Kluyveromyces lactis: one gene and its partner. The protein of the gene in region 2 interacts with the protein of the main gene of each other region in a pairwise test. Links are inferred from orthologs where the notes say so. Each region holds a gene or a part of one and is shown on either strand. Other genes may lie near its edges. The genes, in order: ERG11 and STE24.

The links.
Region 1: the proteins of STE24 (region 2) and ERG11 interact in a protein complementation assay, tested with the Saccharomyces cerevisiae proteins (2 studies listed by BioGRID). The link is inferred for Kluyveromyces lactis from reciprocal best matches to the Saccharomyces cerevisiae genes STE24 and ERG11.

The regions. Positions count from the first base shown.
Region 1 is NC_006041.1:328,323-332,169, reverse strand, and holds ERG11 (sterol 14-demethylase), read right to left. Parts: upstream 2,267-3,847; coding exon 683-2,266; downstream 1-682. Other genes in the region: SPP41 (Spp41p), read left to right, coding at 1-280; RMT2 (protein-arginine N5-methyltransferase), read right to left, coding at 2,982-3,847. UniProt on the Saccharomyces cerevisiae protein: Sterol 14alpha-demethylase that plays a critical role in the third module of ergosterol biosynthesis pathway, being ergosterol the major sterol component in fungal membranes that participates in a variety of functions.
Region 2 is NC_006040.1:924,311-927,927, forward strand, and holds STE24 (zinc metalloprotease), read right to left. Parts: upstream 2,073-3,617; coding exon 702-2,072; downstream 1-701. Other genes in the region: proteasome regulatory particle lid subunit RPN3, read right to left, coding at 1-188; TDA4 (Tda4p), read right to left, coding at 2,668-3,519. UniProt on the Saccharomyces cerevisiae protein: Proteolytically removes the C-terminal three residues of farnesylated A-factor mating pheromone. Also acts to cleave the N-terminal extension of the pheromone. Does not act on Ras.

The DNA of each region.
Region 1 (3,847 bases), on a different chromosome or scaffold from region 2:
TGAAATTGACAATGGTGTTAATACTGCTGTTGATATCCTAAAAGAAAACATGGCGAAGGAACATGTACTACCTGCTTCGACAGTCACCCCAATATCCGAGACTCCTGATGTGAATAAGGCTGATAGTGCTTCAACACCCAACGAATCTGAAGACGGACGTATATCCGAGCATAGTATCGATCCAAACCTAGCAGCATCAACAAAACGTCCGAGAGAAGGACCTGTTACAGATTCCGTCATCACTGCAGAAATCGGTCCCAATTCCAAAAGAGCTTGTTAATTGATCTAAATACATCGGTTTTGTGGTATGAGGTATATTTTCTGCGTAATATTTGATCTAAGCAAACAACTTTAAATATAATTTATAAATTTTACATATTCGACAAACTAATGGACAGTTTTATTATCATAGCGTTCGGCTACTCACGAAACGGCGATGATTAATATGTATTTGAAAGATCCAAATGATGAAGTATCACATCAGACGGAGATAGAATTGAAATTACCGAGGAAAATGGGACAATGAATAGAATATCAGTCGTATCGCATGCTATCAAAAAAAGAAGGATACTGAATGAGTGGTGTAAATATTGTTCTTGCGTGATTACTCCCCCAACAATTGGTTATTGTCTAAGAACAATGAAGAAATCAGTGTATGACAGGAGTGGAACACAGAAACTTTCTACTTTCTTAATGTCCATTCAATTTCAGATGGCTCTAGAGGCAAGGTAACCATAGATTGGAAATCTGGAGTTGGAACGGTTGCTGAAGGATCAGCAAATTTCCAAGTAAGAGTTCTAATGTAGTTGGACAAAATGGTTCCTAATTGCATGTAAGCAAAATGTTCACCGATGCATCTGTGTCTACCACCACCAAATGGTAAGTAAGGAGAAGAAACACCCTTGGAGATGGAACCAAAACCATAATCCACCTTTTCGTTTGAGGCATAAGAAGAAGCAGCATCATTATCCCAACGGTTAGGATTGAACTCTGAGGCATTTGGGAAATATTTATCTTGTAGATGGCAGTAACCTGGAGAAACCAAAACGTGATGACCCTTTGGAACAACATATGAACTGTTTGGCACAGGCATATCGTTCATAACTTTACGGAACAAAGAATGCAATGGATGGTGCAATCTTAGTGTCTCCTTGATAGTTTGATTTAACAAAGGCATTTCTTGTAGCAAGTCGAAAGTCAATTCTTTCGTGCCGTTATCCAAAACCTTCATTTGTTCTTCGTATAACTTTTCCTGAATGTCAGGTCTTTCAGCTAAGTGCAAAATAACCCAAGCAGAAGTAGCAGCAGAAGTATGTTGTCCACCCATTAGAACACCAATCAATAGATTAGCGATTTCTTGGTCGGTCATCTTAACACCATCTTTGTAAGTAGAATTCTTCATCAAAGAATCAATCAAATCTCTATCTTGAATATCGTTTGTATCACGTCTCTTCTTGATCAAGGACAAGTAAGTCGAAGAGATAACTCTTTGAGCGTTATCTCTCTTACGATAGTTATCTAGAGGCAAATGGGAGAACACAAAGTTCAAAGGAGTAAAACCCTTATCTAGATCAGAGTACAAGTAAGCGAAATCAGTGTTTAATTTTTCTCTCATTTCAGAGCCAAGTAGCGATCTAGAAGCAGTGAAAATGGTCATCTCAGGTTGAGTGACCATGACGTTGATCTTACCATGGTCTTTTTCACCAATGGAGAAATTTTTAGAGGTTAAAAAGTACTTTTGAACTTCTTCTGCGATCAATGGCACGTATTTTCTAAATGCATCAGTAGTCAATGCACCCTTAACGAACTTCTTTTGATCCATCAAACGATGGTTTGGACAATCGTAAATAACACCATTACCAAACACAGGCGTAGTCAAATGCGTATAAGCGGCTTCTGCGGAAACATCGGCCAATTTGGCGTTCAAGATGAACTCATGACCCTTAGGTCCCAAATAAACTGTCATCACTTTTCCCAACAAAACAAACGCAAATATATCACCGTATTTTTCTCTACATTCTTCGAAAAACTCGTATGGTCTCATACCATAACTAACAGCAGAACCAACCCATGGAATCCAGTAAAATACCAATGGAACACGGTCTTTTCTCATCGAGTACAACAACTGCCAGACAATTGTGTACACAAATGGCAACAAGATCACAATAGAAATCTGCTGAGCAATTGAAAACGCCAAAAATTGGCCCAACACTGCTTGAGCAGCTTCAAACACCTTAACAACCACCGATTCTGATTTCGTTGACATGATAAATTGGTAACTCTAATCCTATAATTCAAAGCTCAGACTCTTTTTTACAAAATAAAATACGATAAAATAACACTGATAATGATAACAGATTAATACACAATACTCGTGTAATTCTCTTTTCAAACCAGAATATTGATCCTTCCCTGGTCCCTTTCAATAAAGACAGGCTTTATCAGTGTGAACTAGAGACAACAACCTCAGTATAAATCTCTATCTCCTTTTCCCTATCATTCACTGTCTCGAGTGTCATGTCATCTCATTATATAAAGATTGTTTCTTGTTAATGGTATTTCCCATTTTCATCGTTCTACCAAAGAAACGAAAAAAAAAAAAAGATTTCGTTTAAAGCACCATAAAAGAATCGTTTAGCGGAGACCACTAAGCGAGAAAATCGTCTCATCTCATCTCATCCCATTTCTTGGATTTAAGTGTAGGTTTGGTTTTGAGCGATCTTTATCATCAGCTCATGTCAGCAGATGCCTTCTCTGTAGTTATTTGAGGAGATTTATGAATATCTTGTTTGTTTGCCGTTTCCTCTCTGTACGCAGTTTCTCGAGGACAGATTACGCTGGGAACGGCTTTAACAGAACCTGCTAATTAGTTTACTATTACATACTACATGAGGTGTCACATGACATGCGTCAAGGGCCGATATAAAGTATCTAGTTAGAGAGGTATACCCGAGCCGAAAGAGCTTTTTTTCGTATGGGGGCTATGCAAACCTGATTTCAGGATGGTAGTAGTATGTACAGTTGAAATAGGATCTCTTGACGTCGTTCCAATTTGGTAAGGTCCTCAAGTTTATCACTTGGTATCTACATTCCATGCCATAATTTGCTACGTCTAGCTCTACTATCTTACGATAAACGTCGTAACAAACGGGTCTATCAGCCCCCAATCCGTTAAAGAACGAAAACGTACCCTCTGGTTTCAGTAGTCCGACAATCACGTCGTACAAGTCCAGCATATCTTGGTAATGTTCACTGAACGTATCGTAATATATGCCGTCGAAAAACACTTCTCCTTGATCCAAAAGTTCGTTTAGACGAGATTGCCATCTACCCTCGAGTATAACAACGTTTTCTTTATCGAACCAACCAGTTTCCTTCATTTTGGCCAGTACGTCTGGATGGGCTTCACAGATGTAGTGTTTGGTCACTTTCTCATCCTGGATGAAATTGTCTATGATCCCCATACCAAATCCGATATTTAGTACGACACATTCATCTGTGGACCTGGTAGATACTAGTGATTTGGCTGCCATTGACATGATATCGGTCTCCCAATCCATCATGACACCGTCTCTGTTTTCTTTAGTGACAAGAGCATCGTCTGTGTATTCCAAGTCGGTCTTTAGATATGTAGCCTGGTCTGCTGCAGTCGCATCCTCAAATGGTGCTTCCTCCGACCCCTTTGTCACTCCTTCAATGACTTCAGCCTCAGTGGCAGCCTCAGTGGCAGCCTCAGTGGCAGCATCTTCTGGATCTTCAATGAATTCAATTTCACCACCGTCTATCTTTCTTAGTAGTAGTTCCGCCGATACACCTGCGTCCACGATACGTTGATATATGCAATGGT
Region 2 (3,617 bases):
GTAACGTCATGTCTTAATGCTGCAAAATCTCTCAATGATTTCCATACGTAACGTGAATCCATTGATAATGTACTCTTAGAAACCTGCTTGAGGATTTCAAGAAGTTTATCCACAACGGCATCCTCATTAGAATTGTTATCGACCGCGGCCTCTGGGACCGAATCAATATCCATAGCGTCACTAGACATCGAATATCTTTTTAATTGACAAGCTGGAGTACTCTGTCAGATGTTTTGCAGTCTCTAGAGCGGGTTGTTGCCTTCCCTTTTATGAGTGGCAAACAGTTTATATGATTGTTGTTACGTTTGAACTTTTAAAGGAATCCCAAGTTAACTTTCAAATGGCAATAAAGACGCTGGAGTCGTTGTATACGTAAATATTGAAAAGAACAAGAGACATACGGCAACAACGCCTAAATGCCGGCCTGTAATGCTGCAAGACTCAGTGAAAGATGTGGTTGTCTTACGGATAAAGGTGATTAACATCTTATATTAGGAAAACAGGTACAATATTTGCATTATGGCTTTAAAAAGCGCATATATATAGAATAATAAAAATGCTAAACTATGTACTGCAAAATACCACAGAGACTAATCTTACTATACAAACTTTGAAAATAGCACTCTGTTTGTTAACGATAAGTACTGCTGCTTATCTAGTGATCTGTAAACAGTAAATTGAATGCCTTTTTTGTTTGCAAACTACTGGTCTTTCTTCTCGTTCTTGTATTCGATAGCGATCAATCTTTCGGCCAACGTTGGATGAGAGTAATGATAACTTGAATATAATGGATCAACATTCATAGTAGAAAGATTCTTGATTTGAAGGTTGATCAATGCTCTGGCTAAATGAGGGGCGTAGCCCAATTCCTTAGCGTAAGCATCAGATTGGTATTCATGAGCTCTTGAGACTAAGTTTGTCAAAAATGTAGAAAGACAGTCTAGCGGTTGTAATAAGTCATTGAACAAAAGGAATCCGATGATAATTGGATATTGAGGGGTAATAACCTTGGAGATATCAGATGAGGAACCAGAACCGGCGAAGAATCCAAATGCGTTGTATAATGATTTGTTTTGATAAGCAGCGGTGAAGAGGGAAAATACCAAGAAAATATGAGTTTCACTGAAGGCTAGCATCCGCAACAAATGAGATTTTTGCCAGTGACCAATTTCATGAGCCAAAACAGCAACAATTTCATCGGTGGTAGAATCGTTGACTAAGGTATCATATAAGACAATACGCTTACTGGTAAATGGGAGACCCGTGAAATAAGCGTTAGAATGAGAAGATCTCTTGGAACCATCCACGATGAAAATTTTGTCCAATGGAAATCCTACCTTTTTAGCCAAGTTTTCAATTTCGGTCTTCAACTCGCCATCTTCTAATGGAGTGAATTTGTTGAACAATGGCATGATAAACACTGGGATAATAGTCAAAGCAAGGATTTGAACCACAAGAATGAATAGACAGATGTACCACAAGAAATTGGATGGGAATTTTTCAAAAATCTTTAAGAACAAGTACAATACCGGAGTACCAATGACAGCACCTAGCAGACTGCTCTTAATCATATCAGAGATCCATAACTTAATGGTCAATTTGTTGAAACCAAACTTCTCTTCCAAGACGAAATGTTGGTAATAACTCAATGGCAGACCCATCAAAGCGGACAAATTGGACATGACGGTTAAAAAGTACAAGGATTGGGCAATGGTAGAAGTAGGAAAGAACCTGCTTGGGAAATATTGGGCAAAGCTGTTGCCCAGGTGCCATAGCTTTGGTAAAATATCGAACTTGATGAAGATCAAATTCTGAGCCAAGTTAATGACATTCGATACAATTGAAAACTTAGACTTGGCTCTTGAGTAAGCTTCCGATTTTTGGAACGTCTCATCATCAATTTCACCAACTAGCACGGGAGGCAAATTCTTATTGGATAGAGCCAAATATTGACGGTAAGTCAAATAGGTTTCAAATCCAAATTGCGCCACAGTGAACCCCGTAATAATGGTTTTCCATGGTATGGAAGATGAATCCAGGATATCTTGAAGTATGTCAACAATTCCCATCATTAATATAACTATAATGAGGTGATCAATGCCCTACAATCTATGTTTTCTTCTCGAAGCTAAGTGTTAATTGACCTTTATTTTTAGTTCAATATGCAAAGAAGCAGAAAGGAATATATTTAATGATTCGAATCAAAATTGCCAGATAATCAGCTCCTAACGGTGTTTCTTGCCTAACTTAGTAAAGCCCTGGTAAATAAAGGGGAAATGAAGCACTAGAAGCACACTGTTCGAATAATACCAAGTACTCTAGCCTTCTCTCCTTCTATATTCTTCAAACAAGTCAATGCAGTTCTTTGCGGTTTTGTATTTTCAAATTTTATGCTCACTTAAAGGTCATGATGAGAATTTAGTGCCTGCGAAAATAAAAGGCACACACGTTCAAATGGGCAAATATATCCCTTTGGAACACTCCTGAAGGTTAGCTGACTACTTCAATTGATCAGTGAATCTGGCGAAGAATTCATAACCGTGTGATCTTTATTTCTTATAAATCCAGTTTTGGTGCTGGGCATTTCTATGTAGTACGTTGATTTTTATATATAATGAAACAGACAATCAGTCAGCAGATCTGATCTGATCTGACAACGATAAGGACTCAATCAATTTTGGAGACTCTTTTAGATCCATTAGCCATCTTTTTAGCAATTTTCAACATCTTAGAGAACCAGTGGATATTCAAGAAGTCTAGTGAGACGTTGATACCCAAGATAACGGCAGTCATGTATAATGGGATTTGATCCCACACTTGCCACATCTCGTAGATCAAAATCGCAACAGCGACGAACCCCCATACCAATCTGACGAAGAAAAATACTGAGATCAACAAGAACCCATTCAATACGTTGAACCAGGTAGGAACCACCTGCTTCGAGGATCCACGGGACAATTGGATGATGTACCAATTGATGTTGACAAACGGAGTTGAGGCCTCGAATGACAAGAATCTTCCGATCCATGCTTGGCATACCGGGTGCAAGGTAATGGTCAGAACAGCGAATGCTGCCACAGCGTGGAACAAGAATCCAATACCGAACAATTTGAAGTACCTCAGACAGATATACAGATCCCACATGAAATACCCAATACTAACGGCAGAAACCATGGAAGCATAAGAATTGTAGTAAGTTGCCACATTAAATCCAAAAGGAATCCATAATAACGGCCAGATCAAGTACAGGGAGACAACGCTCTGGATCATAGACACGGTATGAATATCGAAATTAATTTTGTCAGGTTCATCCCTTTCTGTGTAATGCTCTTTGAAGAACCATTCGTTAAGTTTTGGCACCACAAATGGATATAGAATGAATTGATACACCACAAAAGATATCAAGGCTTCATGCAAATGTCTATAGTACAAGTTTTCAGAAGATGGATCAAATGACCAGCTTAGCAATGGATCAGACAACTCTGGTCCCGTGAAGTAACTACTCAATTTCTCAAGCATTAATATTAATTATTAGTAATTACTACTGTCACCGTCTTTCTTACTTATCAGAGCTGGTTTCCTTTCCTTTTCCTCTAAGTAGTAGGTTGCGCCTGTCG